3 linked regions of the Nothobranchius furzeri genome follow. The protein of the gene in region 3 interacts with the protein of the main gene of each other region in a pairwise test. Links are inferred from orthologs where the notes say so. Each region holds a gene or a part of one and is shown on either strand. Other genes may lie near its edges.

Evidence for each region.
Region 1: the proteins of gucd1 (region 3) and cystathionine gamma-lyase interact in binary tests that used the Homo sapiens proteins (3 or more experiments, as listed by UniProt). The two-hybrid records come from large-scale screens. The link is inferred for Nothobranchius furzeri from reciprocal best matches to the Homo sapiens genes GUCD1 and CTH.
Region 2: the proteins of gucd1 (region 3) and ngly1 interact in binary tests that used the Homo sapiens proteins (3 or more experiments, as listed by UniProt). The two-hybrid records come from large-scale screens. The link is inferred for Nothobranchius furzeri from reciprocal best matches to the Homo sapiens genes GUCD1 and NGLY1.

The regions. Positions count from the first base shown.
Region 1 is NC_091748.1:59,532,346-59,538,585, reverse strand, and holds the start of cystathionine gamma-lyase, read right to left. Parts: upstream 3,573-6,240; 5' UTR 3,558-3,572; coding exon 3,117-3,557; intron 2,015-3,116; coding exon 1,933-2,014; intron 1,823-1,932; coding exon 1,727-1,822; intron 1,650-1,726; coding exon 1,540-1,649; intron 1,316-1,539; coding exon 1,181-1,315; intron 1,060-1,180; coding exon 1,002-1,059; intron 181-1,001; coding exon 103-180; intron 1-102. UniProt on the Homo sapiens protein: Catalyzes the last step in the trans-sulfuration pathway from L-methionine to L-cysteine in a pyridoxal-5'-phosphate (PLP)-dependent manner, which consists on cleaving the L,L-cystathionine molecule into L-cysteine, ammonia and 2-oxobutanoate.
Region 2 is NC_091751.1:24,885,577-24,891,720, reverse strand, and holds the start of ngly1 (peptide-N(4)-(N-acetyl-beta-glucosaminyl)asparagine amidase), read right to left. Parts: upstream 3,864-6,144; 5' UTR 3,765-3,863; coding exon 3,664-3,764; intron 2,891-3,663; coding exon 2,776-2,890; intron 2,677-2,775; coding exon 2,461-2,676; intron 407-2,460; coding exon 244-406; intron 141-243; coding exon 1-140. Other genes in the region: oxsm (3-oxoacyl-[acyl-carrier-protein] synthase, mitochondrial), read left to right, coding at 4,239-5,230. UniProt on the Homo sapiens protein: Specifically deglycosylates the denatured form of N-linked glycoproteins in the cytoplasm and assists their proteasome-mediated degradation. Cleaves the beta-aspartyl-glucosamine (GlcNAc) of the glycan and the amide side chain of Asn, converting Asn to Asp.
Region 3 is NC_091757.1:28,691,939-28,697,906, forward strand, and holds the start of gucd1 (protein GUCD1), read right to left. Parts: upstream 3,801-5,968; 5' UTR 3,442-3,800; coding exon 3,435-3,441; intron 3,370-3,434; coding exon 3,285-3,369; intron 3,203-3,284; coding exon 3,037-3,202; intron 1,135-3,036; coding exon 1,043-1,134; intron 960-1,042; coding exon 718-959; intron 275-717; coding exon 183-274; 3' UTR 1-182.

The sequences.
Region 1 (6,240 bases), on a different chromosome or scaffold from region 3:
AGCTTTGGCCTCAGGAGTGTGTGCTGGTTGTTTACTGGGTGAATGTAGGACAGATCAGACCCACCACTTCACCAAAAACAGGATTACTCTGGAATTACTCACCATTCTGCAGGAACTTTAGTCGCTCGTGCAGATCCTCTCGGTTTATTGAAACCAGACCCATCACCACGTCACTGTGACCTGCCAAAATGAAAAAGCAATTCAGGAACAGCACAAACTCGTTTTTGAATAAAATCCTGTTCCTTTGGGAGTTAAAATAACCAGAATCGTGTGCTTTAGCAGTGTCTAACCTAACGTTTCAAATATGTTTTTCACACGTTGGCCAGTCAGTCAAAATAAATAAATATGTTGTAATCAGAGTGCACTGCTGTTATCAGAATCAGAATCGTGTTTTATTGCCAAGTGAGAGTCTCACATTACTAGGAATTTGCTTTGGTGGAACGGTGCAAAGACTCAAGTGAAACAAATGAAAAATAGACATTTGAGCAGAAAGTTATCAGTAATAACAAAATCTATTTTTATTTAAGTTTCACATCCTTTAATAGCTTCTATAGATGACCCTAAACAAGAACTGATCTAACATTCTTCCAATGAAAAAAAAACAAAGTTGCATTTGTATATATTAGTATTTTCTGCCTTTTGACAAAACTTGTTTTATTAATTAATCAAAAATGGATACTCCATTGATAAAAGTTCAAGTCTGTTTTTTTTAAAAGAAAAACAAAAGAATATCACAGGTTTATAAATGTGTGCCCTTTACTACATGTATTAGATCTGGGTTGCTAGTTTGGCAAGATCATTTGACTTTTATGTACTTTTTAATTTCCTTTGCCAGTTAAAAACTAAAACAAATGCTCCTAATGTCTGGGGTTACACATTATTGGTTGTAATTTTAGAGATTTTATTGGTATTATAAGTTGAGCAACCTTTTTTTTACTTTTAATTCAACCCATGTTTGTATCAAGTCTGTGTGAAAAACAGTGTGTGTGTGTAAAACCTACCGTTCATGTATTTGGTGGCTGAATACATGCAGACGTCTGCACCTAAGGCCAAGGGGCGCTGACAGTGCAAGACAAACACATAAGTTAATCATTCAGCAAGTTCCTCTCAAGTGAACCGGATTTTCATTAAAGGAAACGATTAAACTGTAGCTTCAGAGTCAACAGAGTGACAGTCCCACCTGGAAATACGCAGACATGAATGTGTTGTCTACCACCACTACTATGTCTTTGTTGTGCTCGTGCACCAACTCAGAACAGGCCCTGATGTCCACAACCTTCATCATAGGGTTGGTTGGACACTCCATCCACACCAGCTACACATGAGACAGAAGAAGAAGTCCTGTCACAACAGGAGTCAATCGTTTGACAAGCTGGTAAAAACAGATCGTTACACAAAGCGATGACTCACACAAAGACTACTCTGACTTAGCAGAAAAGACAACCAATGAAAGAGCGTTTAACAAAAGCAGAGAATGAGTAACACAAAGCAAACAACCAACACCGATTTATTTCATATTCTTATCTTTCCTTGACCTACTTTGGTGTTGGGCTTCAGAGCGGACTTGAGCAGCTCCAGTTTAGTGAAGTCAGCAAAAGTCACGTCCAGACCGATTTCAGCTGCAATTCTTTTAAAGTAGCGATTTGTGCCTTTAAAAAGGGGGCGTGAGGCTCAGTTAAACAGAAAGTGCAAGTATTAAAACAGATGTGGGAGCAGGGAGACTCACCTCCGTACACATCATCCATGCAGACGATCCCATCGCCCCCTTTCAGCATGTGAGTGATGGTCACTGTGGCGGCCAGTCCTGAGGCGAAAGCAAGAGCTGCAGGGATTTTCAACAAAAAACTTGTTAAAATGAAAGAACGTGGTTTGTGTCATCAGTGAGAAGAAAACCTATTTGTGTTCAAATGCTGAATCATATTGTTTACTTACAATACTTTGCTCCGTCCAGCGCTGCCACAGCCTTCTCCAGACAGTTTCTGGTGGGGTTTCCACTCCGGCTGTACTCAAAGCCCTGAAGAAATGCAACATTTTAATAAATATTTTCTTCATCAAAGTGAATTTCTATTTGGGTTTTCTGAATACAAAAGAAACAAATGAATTGCTATGAATGCTAAACATCACATTTTAGAAGAATACTGTTGAAAATAACCTATGTTCACCTCTCCAATAATGTTAAACTCCCATAGTAATCACTCACTGGGGAAATTCATCTCCACATTTGACCCATCTCTGTGGGGAACGGTGAGCTGTAGCTGTGGCTGCGCTCGGGAACTATTTGGTGGATTAACCCCCAATCCAACTCCTTAAAGCTGAGTGTCAAGCAGGGAGGCATTGGGTGTGACCCGACCGGTTTTGAACCCAGTTCTCCCAGTCCCAGAGCAGACACTACCACTGAGCTGGTTGATGTACGAAGTAAGTTATTGCCTGAAGATAATGATAGGAACACATGATTTGTAGTTTAAAGAATTGCAAAAGATATTTAGGGTGAAATATAATCTTGTATCGTCTACTGGTTTTGTGTGGAGTTTAGATAAGCGAGTGAGAAAAGCCACCTGGAATACTGGCTTATCTGTAAAATAAGAAAATCTACACATCTCCAGCTATAGGGCCTTGTTTGACTTGGACAAATAATTTACCAGTTCAGTGAAAAGAGACTGTAACCATAGGAAATGAATTTAAAAAAATCAACGATGTTTGAAAGATGATAAAAAAAATTCTAATTTGGCAGAATTACAGCTGTGGGCTGAATCTGTAGGCGGCCTCAGTCTTACATTTGCTGAAGAAAAACTGGAGGAAATCCAGCAATCTTGACTTCATCACTGAGATGAATTGAAGTGAAAAGAAACAGAAAACTTTCTAATAGTACTGGTGTTATAGTTTTGGTAATAGGGTGAATTCCCTTGTAAAAACAGGAAGTATAATCAAACAGCTCACTGGTCTGATTTGCATCTTTTTAGGGGGACCGGAGGATATGTTTAAAATATTTAAAAAAAACCTGAATGATGATAACGTTTTGGATGAGGTAACATTACAGCTTATTTGATAGGATGTATTTAACAGGCACGTCTTGTCACCCCCAGCCATAAATAACCGACACCGATCAGGCTACTTACGGCATGGTTTCCCGGTGAGTGCTGCTTGAAGGTAGTAGAGAGGGATATCAGCGGTACTACGGCCATTGAGCTCCACTGTTCCGGCTCCTGACCGACGTGTATAGCATCTGTAGCGAAAGATTTGAAAGCGGTGCGGAAGCCTGTGAAGACACCGGTCGGCTCATCTTGTTTGTTCGTTTGCTCCATCGCAGCGCGCGCCTCCAAAGTAGCTGAACCACAGTGTTCCCAGGGTGAGTCTGCATTACCGCTACCGGTAAAGGGAAATACATTTAATAGGGCCGAGCGGAAAGCTCGTGCTCCTGAGCCAATCAGCACGCAGCGCGGAGCAACCAGCACGCTGATTGGCTGTTGTAGAGGGGGCGTCCGGCCCACGTTATTTCCAAATTCATGCTGCCGCTCTGATGCAACTATTGTTCTTGTTTGAGTCAGAGAGGTGTTCATCTAATAATGTCTCCTGACATTAAATAATGGGTTCGCTGTGTTCACATTACTTAATTTACCAAGAAAATTATATTTTAAATGCGGATTACGTTTTAAAAAAATCTACAAAGTAAAACAATAAATAAACAAATAAAAACAAAAACAAGTTGGGAAAGATTTTTAATATTAGGTATGTCTTAGTCTCAGCAGCTGCTGTGACTTAAAATAAATTGTATGCATTGTTGAAAAAGTGAAGTCAGGTTGTAGTCCCATTCTTAAAAGGCAGGGGGAGGAAGAACTACAACTAATACGCGAGCAGGAGAGCTTGGGTAATTTTTCAAGACTACTGTGCTTTTTCTTGTACTTCCATTTGAATTAAATCGCAAATGTAAGAAAATTTCTGCTTCATCATTTCAAATATTTATCAGTAAAAAATAATTTTTTACAACGTCTTCTTTTCATAATTGTTGAGTGAAATTACAAACTGGTGTATTTGATAGCATTATGTTGTTATTAGCCTACTAAATGATGATGAATTTTTTACAAAATGTTACTTTCAGAAGATTAAATTTTTTGTATATGTTGAACAAACTGAACAAACACTCGGCAGTTTACCGAGTTGGTTGTTCATGATCAAAGTTAGAAAATGCAAAGCTAATAAATATTGTTGTATTATTGTCAGTTCATTCTGAATCGCATAGACATTTCTTAAAATGTTCATTTGGAGTTTCCAATTTAAAAAAGGCCAGGACATAACCACACAAAGGCATTGTCCACAATAACCAGTTTTAGTCCCACTGTTATCAAATTCCAACTGAAAAACTTTATTCATTTGATTGTCTATAACCCCATCCCTCCATCAGTACCAGAAGGGTTCATTGTCATATTTGTAAGAAGTCACAACGTTAGGAACTTGCTGCAGTAACCTGTCTGCACACATAAATGGGCCCAAATGGAACCTATATGGGCAAGCCATAGGTCCCACCTGGGTTTGTCTAGAGCAGGGGTTCCCAATTTCTTTCTTTCTTTCTTTCTTTCTTTCTTTCTTTCTTTCTTTCTTTCTTTCTTTCTTTCTTTCTTTATTTATTTATTTATTTATTTATTTATTTATTTATTTATTTATTTATTTATTTTGAGGACCCCTTTGCTCATGTCCAAGACAAGCCAGGACCCCCAACCCCAACTCCTACATGAGTACACACATTAAATGTGATAATTTGTCATCTTTATACAGGCACACAGAAATATAAATTATATATGGAGTTCTGGTTGTACTGTAGGGTGTGTTATTGGGAGTTTATGTAATTTTTACAAATAAATTCTTGCTAATCTCACTCTCAGCAAAGACAAAATTGTGGGGACCCCCGGCCCCCAATTTGGGAACCCCTGGTCTAGAGAGATCTTTGCCCACATAAAACATTTAAAAACTCACCTTTTCATCCAGGCATTCCCCTGCTAAATATTCTGAAAGATGGCTTTGTCTTTGCTCATACCTTGACTTTGTTTTTACTCCTGATTTTGTTTACTATTTTGTCACTGCTATTGTTTTTTATGATCTGTTTTTATCAGTTTGAGGTATTTGACCTGATTTTACTCATGTTGTACACTTTGTGATTCATATCTGCGAAAGGCGCTTTATAAATAAGCTTTTACTTACTTACTTACTTACATAGATTTTAATGGGCCCGACATGGGTATTCAGAGGGTTTAGAATGTTTGTGGGCAAACCCCTGTGGGGCCACTGTGGAAACTGCGGACAAACCCTGGTGGGACCCATTGGGCTTGCCCATACGTGCTCCATATGGGGCCCACATATGTGTGCTTCAAAAAAATAATAGATATGCAAAAAAATTGAAATGAGCACAACTAAATAATAATATAGAGAAGCAATGATTAGAGAAACGGGTGGCTAATTTAAGTGTATTGATCAGAGTTGAACAGTCAGGTGCAAACACAACCCAACACAGAGTCAGGTGACTGGAACGTGACTGGAGTGGGCAGTCAACCCCATCCCACCATGTGCAGCTACATAAAGAAACATTTTTAAAATCACTGATAGAGAGAAAAGGGATTTATTTCAATGTGTTCCAACTTCAATAACATGCCATTTACAATAAAACTGACTGCTGAGGGGGAAATTTCAGAGAGTTGCCTGTTAAGAGAGACCATGTTTGTGTGTTCTTCAAATGCTTCAAGAACAGAGCGGCATCTACAGTATTTCAATTTAGGAATGCATTTTACAGGCGCATAATGCTTTTTAGGATTTAGGGGGTGCTGTTAAAATTAAGAGAGCCCTCAGTTCAAGACAAAACAAATGATCCCCGAAATACCACTGATGCATGCACTCAAATATGATCAATCAATATTTTTTGGCACACAACATTTTTACCTCCTCCTTGAACTGTCACCTTATCGTGGTGGAGGAGTTTGAGTGCCCTAATGATCTAGGAGCTCTGTTGTCTGGGGCACATTGTGCCCCTGGTAGGGTCTCCCATGACAAATTGGTCTTAGGTGAAGGGTGAGATAAAGTACGGTTCAGAGGATCTTTCATGGATGTACAATCAAAGAGTAAGAGTACCCGGCCCGGAGGGTTACCGGGGTCCCACCCTGGAGCCAGGCCTGGGGTTGGGGCCCGTGAGCAAGCGCCTGGTTCCCGGGCTTTCGCCCATGGGGCCCGGCCAGGCCCAGCCCGAACCGGATACAT
Region 2 (6,144 bases), on a different chromosome or scaffold from region 3:
ACTAGGGCTGAGGGGGCTGGCGTGCTGGGTGGGACCTTCACACTGGCTGCAGGGTAACTGATCCACCCAGGAGAAGAAATCATGCTTGAACCACCTGAGCAACTCCAGCACCAGGAAGTCTTCTATCCCAAGTTTACAGTCTGCAAACACGACAGCAGAGCCAGTCAGGTTCAAGTCTCATAACTGAAGGTGAACTCGAGTATGTTTTATGGCAGGTGAACAGACTGAGTGAGGCCACTTCACCTGAGTCGGCATCTTTCAGCTCCTTCAGCTTGTGTTGAGCAGCAGAACGCAGCTGCTGGTGAGGAATAACGCTTAGAGCTTTCTGCTGCAGCTCAGGCCTTTCATACCGCATCACGTGCTGGAAGTTCGACTGAAGAGTTGCAAAGAAACTCACACTGCTCCCCTGCATCACAGACAATAAAAAAGGCAAGTTCTCAAAGGTCCTTCCTAAAGAGGCTGATGTGTCCTAGAGGTGGTGATGTTCTCCACCTCCAGCTACATTCACTGACCCCACAGATGCACAGAGAAAACTTGGCTCTTTCCTAACAACATTCTCATCAGTAGATCATATTTCACCAAAAGCAGCATTAAAGCAACCCTAAAGAGCTTTTATCACTTGAAGCTATTGCTTTCAAAATGGTTTCAGTGGTTCTTGAGCCATAAACTTGACCAACTTCACATCGGACAGCACTATAAACCCTCTGCTGAGTAGAAACTGCACTTAAAGGGATACCAAGAAGTTTTGGCTTGCTTTTAGAATACCCTGCTGTTCGTTAGTAAAAGTGAAACTGATCTCCTCGTTGTGCGTTTGTCTTTTTAACACCCAACTGTGGAAATGTCTCCTTAGCCTTCATTAGTTTCTACAGGTGTAACTGTTAGCAGAGCTCAACATTCCCAGGTTTCATCATCAGGGTTGACGGAGAAAACAAATCAGACGGACACGTCAACATTCATTGATGGGGGGGGGGGGGGGGGGATTATTCCAGTCACGTCTTTTATGCAGTGCTGAAAGCAATCTCATTGGGTGTCACATCAGGTAAAACAAATAATCCATTGAGTAAGAAACTTTGACAAATGAGAACAAAAACGTAAACACGAATACATGAACTTATTTGGAGTGCAAATAAACAACTCAACAGCCACTCATCACTCAATCAAACAAATAAGCTGTGTTCAGGCATGTCAGCTCCACCTTACTAAAGTCCAGCAGGGACCAGACCGGCACTCTGAAGTTGCAAGTCCGGTATTCTGGCCAAATAGGGTGGTGGGGGTCTGAGAAGCATTTCATTAAGCCTGTAAAGGTTCATTTTAGCACATGCTGGCTCAAGAAAATGATTTGAAAAAGTTGCATAGTAGAACTTTAACAGTTTTGTGGCTCAGGTAGGAGCACTAGTGGGAGGTAGGGGTGGGCGATATGGAAAAATAATCATATCATAATTTTGTTTTTGCAAAATCACAATCACTATTTTATCTATTTTGACAATTCAGATGTTTTGGAAGTTATTTACCATTAAAATACATAAATTGAAATCATACCCCTTCACAGAAAAAAGGATAAAATATTTCTGAATCCTAAAAAAATATTTAATTATCTCTCCCTCTATCTATCTCTCCATCTCTCTCTTTATCTACACCTCTACCTACAGTTGAGAGCTAGAGACACATGTCTCAAATGTCCCACAGGCTCTTTCATGTAATTTTATATTTATAATTAATGTAAAATAATTTAAATTCTATCTAGGAGGCTCATATCCATCATCCACAATATTATCAGTAATTATTACTTGTCCACTAAAAAAAATCTATCATATTAAGCTAAACTAACCCTCATCTCATGCGTTCTCTAGTCACGATTACACTCCGCACTCAATATTTGTTGTTATATTCCTGATTGCGGGGAGGCAGGCATAAAAAAACGCTCCGGTCGGCCGCCACGGTGAAAAGGCTCGCTAAAACACACATAAACGTCTCAAAATAATAAAAGTCACAAAGCTAATTGCAAAGTTGAGAGCAGAGCATTGGCCCAGAGGTTCCCTGATTGAGCAGACTTGTCAGCAACATTTTATCCCAACAGTGTAGATCTTTTTACTTTGTGGCTTTTTAATATCAGTTGGCTCGTACTAGCGCTAGCTACAGCAGGCTGTGGCAGGGTTGTTTACGACAGTTGTATTTCTGCTTTCAACCAGTAGGAGGGAGAAGCGAGAAGCTTATGTTGCTTTAACTGTGCTCCATCAGCACTTTGTGCTGTTGTTTACATTAATACAAGAATCCCATCAAACTGTTTTATGTCACTTTGGTTTGTTTTAAGTCAGGGGTTATATGTTATGACACGTTATATTTACACAAGTAAGGAAGTTTCAATCGTCTATTAGAAGCAGATGTTAATGAATTGGGAACTTTGTGGAATATAGGGAAAGGCACAATAAGCAGCATAATTCTAAAAGAAAACATCCCTACCAGGGACGATGGCTGCAGAGGTGGTGGTGCTACTGGTCGATCAGACGCAGCAGCACATCTCTCTGGGGCCGAAGATGCTGCCGTTGCAGGCTGAACGGCGGCTTGGCCGGGATATTCACCAGCCATCCTTACATCCCGCTCTGCAGCGATTGACTCCCTGATGAGCCTCAGCTGTGCCACTGACGCAGACTGGGGGAAGACCAGGTGGGTCTCTGCCTGGAAGGGTTTAGAAAAATTACCAAGAAGAATAATGAAGCAAAGCATGCACAGTGTGAGTGACTGCTTTACCTATTAAAGCCACAAGGAAGCTCTTACCTCCTCAAATCCCATCTCAAAGAGACATTCTACAGCACCTCTGATGGGCAACAGCTTGGTGGAGAAAGTGGGGTTTCCTATACGGATGGATCTGTACTTTTCCTCATTAGGACTCCTGTTGGGCAAAGGAAAAACAATCAGCTTTTCAGAAATCATCTTTTATTCTGAACCCAGGGAGTTCTGTGGTAAGTGAGCCCTCAGGTCCACAAACCAGAACCTTCTAGAAGTACCAAAGACCAGATATAAACATCGAGGTGATCGCTCTTTCCAGGCTGTTGCACCCCGACTTTGGAATTAACTTCCTTTATCCTTACCTAGTATTGACAGTTCATACACTTATAAAATACAGCTGAAGATCCTTTTACATAAAGCTGCTTTCATCTAAATCGTTAATTTTCTTATTTTTAACTCGAATTTGTAATCATCTTTCATTTGTATTATGATTATAAAATTATATGACTTTGTTTTTCTGATTTTAATTTATTTCTGTTTTAAGATTATTGTGATTTTGTGCTTTTATGTTTTGATCTTTGTGAAGCACCTTGTGATTATCTGTCTGTGATAAGTGCTTTAAATAAATAAAATGTACTTAATTACTCTTCAGAAATGCCTGATTCAGTCAGACTACGTTGTTTATTCATGTATTTCGTCTCGCGATCAGAAGCAAGGTCTAAACGCAGACCTAAACTACTTCCTGGTACACCGAATCCACACAAACACTTTAAAGTTGAACCTTCAACATTGATACACAGTAAAATAATCGCCTTAATCCAAACAGCGTCCTGTTACACTTCCATTAGCTTCACTTTGTCGACAAAGCGTTAATTCGTTGTGTGTATAAGAGTATTTCAGTGAAACCTAACACGATTGTTTAATTTGCAGCTTTACCTTAAAATGTTGTCCGCGTACGTGAGCAGCAATTTAGAGACGTCCAGGAACACATCTCTTGGGTTCTTACACAACGTTGAGACCGCTGGTGAAGGATACATTTTAGAGTAATTAGAAAAACTGAAACGTTTTTCACTGAAACTCCTATAAATGCTAATGCTTAGCTGCCTGGGGTCCTGACAACACGTGTCCTAGCATCGCCTGACTAAATTTGTCGAAGCTTTTATAAATATTTAAGAAATATGCAGCTATAAATATACGTCATACAAGTACAAATTTATGCCGCGTTAAAAAAGTATAATGAAGTACTGATAATTGTTTTTTGGGGCCTGCTTTGGTTTATAAATTAAAGGTTACGCATCATGGCGTTAGCTGCTACTACCTAAGACTAGCTAAAAACAAATCCTCGGGTGTCATGATGGACTAGTTATTTCACGTATGTTTTTATAAGAATCTCTACCAATTTGAGTGTTTTTGCGTAAGGAAAGTTCGCCTTTTGCTTGTAAATCTTCCTTATGCTCTCAGTAAGCCATTTACTGAAGCTTCCGGTTTGCTGTCTTAGTTAAAATCGTAGAATGTCTTTTCTGTCTCTGTCCTATTGGGCCAAAATCCACCAGAGACCACACAGTTTAGGGACTCTGCTTCACAAATCCCTGTTTAGTCCGAACCAGGACTCTAGGCACCAGTTCAGTGGGCAGCAGTCTCAAAGGAGGGTTGTTATTACTGGACTAGGGTTGGTGTCCCCACTGGGGACAGGGACTGGCCTTCCCTGGGAGAACCTGATCAAAGGACAGACTGGGGTTGTTGCTCTGGACTCAGAAGAGTACAAGACTATCCCCTGTAAAGTGGCGGCTCTGGTTCCTAGGGGCACTGGTGAGGGGCAGTTTTGGGGAGAAAAGTTTGCCTCTCGAGGGGAAATCAATTCAATGTCACCAGCGACCCTCATGGCCCTTGGAGCTGCTCAACTGGCGCTGGAGGACTCAGGGTGGTACCCTGAAAGCCCAGAAGAGCAGCTGAACACGGGGGTAGCAGTAGGCATGGGTATGGTGTCACTGGATGAGATTGCCCGGACTTCTGCTGCCTTCACAGAAAAGGGCTACAACAAAGTTAGCCCCTTCTTTGTTCCTCGTATCCTGGTCAACATGGCTGCTGGGCACATAAGCATCAAACACAAATTGAAGGGTCCCAACCATGCTGTGTCCACAGCATGCACCACAGGCGCTCATGCCATCGGTGATGCAAGCAGGTTCATTGCCCATGGGGATGCAGTTGCTATGGTTACAGGGGGAACAGAATCCTGTGTAGGGCCGCTCTCAGTAGCTGGCTTTGCCAGAGCACGTGCACTCGCCACCAAATGGAATGACAGACCTGCGCTGGCGTCAAGACCCTTCCACCCAGAGAGAGATGGTTTTGTGATGGGAGAGGGAGCAGCTGTGCTCCTGCTGGAGGAGCTGGAGCATGCACTGACAAGAGGAGCCAGGATCTATGCTGAGGTTCTGGGCTATGGGCTCTCAGGGGATGCTAGCCACATCACCGCACCCACTGCAGATGGAGATGGAGCCTTCAGGTGAATTGCTTATAAAGGTTTTACTTGGTGTTTCATAGTCCTGGATAATCCATATTAAAAAGTGTGTTGTTCTTGTCAAGAATCAGATGCTTGATAAAGTAATGTTATTATAATAATAATTGAGTGTAAATAGTAACACAGTAGTAGCTCAGGAGGTAGAGCGAGTAGTCCAGTAGTGGAAGGGTTGCTGGTTGATCCCAGTTCCTTCCTGTTATTTCCTCAGGCAAGACACTTCATCTATGTTGGTGGTGGTCAGTGGGGCAGATGGTGCAACATGGACGCCTAGCCTTGAGCAGACTGCCCCAGGGCGGCTGTGGTTCTGTATAGTATACCATCACCAGCAGTGTGAGAATGAGTGTGAGTCAATAGTGGATTCTCTGTGAAGTGCTTTGAGTGTCCAGAAAAGCTCTATATAAATCTAATCTATTTTTTAATTATGTAATCTGCAAAGTATTTTATTAATCTGGACAAGGCATGTTTAACATTTACAAGTAAACATGCTAGATTATAGCCAGTGGCTAGTTTACTTCTGTAATCTCAGGGCTAGAGAGTGAATATAGGTGATGATAGAACATGGACAGGAATCTCAGTCGGATCAGGAAACTGCTCTGCAGGTTCAACTTGTACGGTGGGGTGTGGTCTTCTATTTCATGAAACAGTTTAATGGTGATGGTGCCAGCCTTTGAAGGGATATGTGGGCATGTAGAATCTTTGGGTTTGAATGTATTTTCAAAAGTGAGAATATAAATGAATGATGTAAATTATGCAGTATCTTTACTTCTTTCTTATCCAACCTTTGTTTGTGGCAAGCTGGTTACCCAGCACTTGATGTGGTAGTCACAATCTGCTTCTCAAACACACTGAAGGCTCATTTCACCTTCTCCTTTTGGCTTTTTGGTGGCAGAAAGAAGACA
Region 3 (5,968 bases):
TAAACCATCCAGTAGAAAAATATCTCATCTCAGAACGTCTTCCTGCTGAGGATCCATCCAAGGTGAACAGTTTGGATTTTGTATAGAAATGTGTACTCATATATAATATCTCTATACATGTACAGACAGCAGGGGGCGCCAGTGCGCTGAAGCGGTACTGATCACACCATCTCGTCCGTCCATCAACTGTCCTTAAAAACCAAGAGGATGTCTTCGTCTGTCCCATAGCTCCGCCTGGCCTCTTCAAAGTTACTGATGCTGGTGCAGCACACTCCTGGAGAACACACACACACTTATTAAACATTAAATAACTACTTGTCTAATTATGAGTTGGACCCAGCTGCACAGGCGGTACCCAGATGTTCCAGCTGTGGCCCTTATAAGAGCAGCTCTGGTGTTAAACCTGCTTTGAATCCTGTTTATTTAGGACTTAAGTGACCTCAGTAGATTCATGAGTGTGAAGATCCGCTGATGCTTTTTTGAAATCTCAGATAACTAAAGTTGGTTGATCGTCTCTGATGAAATGAGGAGAAAAGCCTATAAAACATTAAACTTCCTGTGCAAAAATCAACATAACTTCCATACCTGTGCATTAATACATGCCAGGATTCCATCACACCGTTGGCAGAGCATTCAAAAGCTTTTTTTTTTTGCTTTACTAAATAGAAAATGAGAGCAGCAGGGTTTCGGTGTTTTGGACCAACAGGATGGACTCACGGTCAGAATAGGCAGGGTTGTTGTAGAAGACGCAGCCGGTGGTTCTGTTGAAGCCGCACACAACCACAAAGTGACCCTGGTACTCAGGTTTCCTGCAGAAGCACTTCTGTCCCACAGGGAGGAAGCAGCAGTATTTGACAGGTGAGGAGCACAGCTCACAGGTCAGGACCACGGCGTTCACCAGCACCACGGCCACATGGCCCTGCTCCAGATGGGACTGGATTTCCTGAATTGTCACCGAGCTGAAGAAGAAGAAGAACAAAATCCGTCCTGATCCCAGAACAACAAGAGCCAACAAGTGGATCACTCTCCACCCCAGACTCACCATTTCTTCACCACCACACCTGTGGTTTCTGCCTTACAGAAGAGCTTGTTCACTCGGTCTTCTTCTGTGTCAAAATGCTTCTTATAAAAGGACTGGAAAACAAAAGTGATCATCACTACTTGTGTACACAACAAAACATTTGTCCCCTCTCAGATTTCTTCAGCTTTGCTTTGTTGTCACTTAATTGTTTCAGATTAAACATGTCATCACCAGACAAACTAAAATCTATCAGAACCACCAGGTTTTGTGTATTTCACCCATGGGTGCTACTTAGTGATGTGACGTTCAGGAACGAACTGAATCTTTTGAACGGGTTTTCAAAGTGAACGATGAGAGCCGAGTCCCTGTAGGGAGCCGTTCATCTTGTCTTCCAGTAACTAACCTCCCCGGGAGGAGGCGTTATTTGGAATTCTAGGATGTTCAAGGAAGATCCCACCTTCTTTGGTACGTTCTTTCTGTGTTTGGCTTCAAATTCTGTTTTTGGTTCATTTTAAAACACAGGAAAGGCTTCTCTTTACCTTGCTGACAGTTGTGTTCCTGTCGGCAAGGTAAAGAGAAACCTTGTTTTGTTAGTTAAAAAGAACCAAAAATGGAAGATCCCACCTTTCTCGTCTCTGATTGGCTAGAAAGGCTCTACTACGATTGGCTATTTCATTTAACAGCAAACTGGCTGTCCGTGCTAAGTGCTGACTGTGTCCTTCTGCCACCAGCAGGAAGCTGTTTTGGGGAGTTTGGTAAAGAAAAAGTTAATTTAGCGCTATAATAAACATTCTGTCCTGGTTTGCACAATATTTTAGGTTTTATGTTTCATAAAAAAACCTGAAAAACGTAAAATGTGAATTTTAAATCTTGTTGCATTTTTCAAACTGTTTGACTTACCTTATTTCTCTTGGCTCTGAAGCATTAAGAGTACACAGGATAAACACATGTGCCTTACCTGGGTATGACATTTAATAAAACTGCCCCATTCTGCCCAGCTGTGTGCATCAGGTCGGTTTCTTCTCTAGAATAATGAAAACTGGTGAAAAATAGGTCTAAATCATCATCAGCTTTAACTTAATTTTTGATTAATTGATGCACATTTAATCTGATGATGAGAGATGTGCTCTAACTTGCAAACAGCCTTAACCTATTAAAGCAGGATAGCCTAATAACGAAGTAATAAGATAACCCCAGTAGAGCCAGCAGATATAAAGTCACTCTACAGTGTGATAAAATGCTACAAGAATTATTACAAGTTCACATTTGATGTTTTTCAGGTTCTTTTATGAAAGAAACTGAACCTGGTTTGTTGCTAAAAAGGAAGGGATGTTTATTACAGCGACGAGTTCACATTTTCATCAAAAAACTCCTCAAGATCTGGCTGTAAACAATTCGGTCAAAGGAGCCAGTGTTTTGAACGGCTCTTTGAGGTAAACGACCAACTAATGAACGGCTCCCATGAAAGAGCCATAAATCCCATCACTAGGGCTACTGGAGACATCAGTGAGGAGTTTTGTCCCACCCTGCTTTACGGAGTCGTTTTATTTGAGTCACATTGAAGGATTTTCCAACCCTTAAGTTCAAAGGTCAGATGTTCTCCTTCAGGATGTTCCGCTAAAGAGCAGAATTAATGGTTCCATCAGTTACTGCAGGTGGTGCTGAAGCAGCCCCAGACCATCACACTACCACCACCGTGTCTGACTGCTGCCATCTTGACCTTTTTTGATACAGTGCAATGCAGTGGGACACGCCGTGCTGTCAGACAGGTTCCGTTGAAGCGATTCTTTCTACAGGTCTGGTAGTGATCAGGATCACGGCGCGGCTGGTGGAGCTCAACTCAGATCACCAGCTATCGTAGTTAACCAGGGTTTTTTCCCTCACCATTTAAAACTGTATTTACTCAGGTTATCGTCGTCTGAGACGTCTAAGAGACACAACAACTGAAGAGATCTGTAAGTGGGTGGATACTTATAAGCATCACTGTAGATGAAAGCAAAGATTCCTCCTCATACCTGGTTTTTAAAGCCCTTGTCGACACCCAGGGTCTGTGTGCAGAAGCAGTGTTTGACTCCTAGATGACACATGAGGTAGGCCAGGTCTATAGTCCACACGCTCTCAGTCAGCTTCAGCTCCCAGCATGCTGTCTGGAAGTCCTCATCACTCACGGGGTGCAGATACCTGCAGAACACCACCAACACTTTGGGTTGAACTCTAATGGCTGTAACAACAGGAGCCCGGGGTCTCATTAATGTTCGCTTACTTGAGGACCATCCTGGAGCAGGCTAAGCCGCAGTCCCAGTGGTACAGCTGCCGGATGATGGGAACACTCAGCAGGACGGCATCCTCTGAGGAAACAACACGTTACCGTTTCATTTTAAACACCTGACAACAGCACGCAGCACGCGCTTACCTGTCATCCTGCTACCTTCTTTACGTAACAACCAGCTGTCTAACTCGGCGGGAGCCTGAGGTCTTGTTTACCACTCTGAAGGAGGGCTGGGTTTCCTCATCGAGCCTCACAAGTTACCAGAAATCACAAGCCTAACTTGGTCCTGGTGTCTAACGAAACACTGTTAGCAGCTCTGCTCAGCCAGCTCCTCCAACCGGAAGTCACACGAACCACAAGGACATCAGCAAAGGCAACTTTAGAAAGAAATACAAGATTTTAACCCGTGCTGTGCTGTTGTTTTTATCTTCCACCGCACTTCTCAGTTATTCGCATGGCTATTCGCCAGGATACGGGAAAGGTTGGTGGTCTTCTGTGTTCCGGTAAAGTGACGCTGCCCCCTGGCGGCGAGGAGGAGAATCAACCTGCAGACAGTCGCACAAGTTTGGCAAGCCAAGAAGTTATTTAAGGTACTGCTTCCTGATCTCTGAAAAACGAGACAGCGCAAACACAATTCAGCTAAAAATGAATGATCCCGGAGGGATACTAAAAGTTTATGTTCATGTTTCTGTAGCAGGTATTTCGTACTGCTACATTTCTAAACCAGTTATCCGTTTATTCATTCATCCATCCACTAATGTTTCCCTCTGACCCAACCTCAGGTCAGACATACCTCTCAGTGACGCTCTCCAGCTCCTCCTGGGGAGATATTCCCTGGTCACATTTATTTATTTATTTGTTTATTTAACGCATTTTATTTAACCCTCTCAGGCTCAAAATAAGTTTTGGTAAAAGAACAAACAACTCAGTCCTTCAGGGGTACTTCTGAGTTAAAATGCTCATGAAATACGTGTGTGAAGTAACCAGGTAGGTAGGTTTTAACTGTTGCAAATCTGCAACGCCTGCCTCCAGAGCGGTTAACATTTATTCAACCAGACAAGTCGATTGAGAACTCATTCTCATTAACAATGACGAACTGGTAAAGAGGCAGCAGCAACAGACACATAATTAGCCTTACACCAAAGAAAAACAGTTAAGATGAAAACATACAATATAAAAATGAGATGAAACAGTTAGACATAAAGACAAAGGACTGTTTTCATATATCAAAACAGACTTTAAACAATCTTTAAGTGATCAGAAACTATTGACTGCAATGAATAATTGAAGGTAGATAATGGAATGTAGGCAGTGAGCTTTAGTGATTTTTGCAGCTCATTCCAGTCGTTGGAAGCAGCAAACTGGAATGAGGAGCAACCAAAAGAGGTGCAAGCTTTGAGAGTAACCATAGAGATGAAGTTACTGGCATTTAAATGGCCAGAGAGGATGTAGACTCCCTTCTCCCTGTGGGATGTGTCTGGAAAACCTCCAGAGGGAGATATTCAAAGGCCTTTGAACTCTAGAGGGAGGCATCCTGATGTCTGAACCACCTCAGCAACCTCAGCTTTGTGCAAGTCCAACATTTAATTTACTCACAGCTTTTGCCTATTTCCATACACACCAAAAGAATAAAACGTGATTTATTTTATCATAGGAATATTACTGCAGAGCCAACAGGGGGTCAGGCAAATTTCATTTATCTGAGGTCAAATGAATCACTTGACTCATTTCATCTATAGAGCTAGGATTGTGACAATATTTCATGTAACTTGTAACATGCTTTGTAACTGCATGACTGCAACTTTCGTTTTGTAGCATGTACTTCCTGTTTTGTAACGTAACTTTTGGTACGTAATGTGAAACTTTCGTTTTGTAAAAAAAATCTACGTACAAGTTTCAAATCACAACTCTCCAAACACACATCTCAGTCTACAGTTACAAAACTCAAGTCTATGTGTACAATGATGATATTTATGATGTTTTTATTAGTTTGAGGTATTTGCCCTGATTTTACTCATGTTGTGCAGCACTTTGTGATTTATATCTGTGAAAGACGCTATAAATAAACTTTACTTACTTACTTACAAAACATTTTGTGCCAATTCTACCTTCCTTCCCAAAGGACCAATGACAGGCTTTGTCTTATCAGCCAATCACATTTCTTGGATATGAAATCATGCTCTAATTCAAAATGTAAGTTCTTCATTTTCATCAGTTTAGTTTTCCTAATAATTACCGCCACCAACTGGTAAAGAGTGAGAATGTGAACAGGTTGGGTTGTGAGCTGTACAACAGACCTCTGCCTTCTTGCCATGATTGGACAGGAATCCACGACTCACGATTGGCTTGTCAGACAACGCCTGTCACTGGTTCTTTGGGAAAGGGAGCTAGAATTGGGACAAAATGTTTTTTGTACCATGTAGATTTAAGTTTTGTAACTGTAGACTTAGATGTGTATTTTGAGAGTTGTGATTTGAAACTTGTACATAAATTTTTTTTCTGCAAGTTACAAAATGGAAGTTTCATGGTATGTACCGAAAGTTACATGTTACATTATAAGAATGACATGGTACAAAGTTGAGTTACAAAACACAAATTACAAGCTGCAAAATGGAAGTGACAGTTACAAAACATCTTACAAGTTACAAAACTTGGTACAAGTTACGTGTAGTATTTCC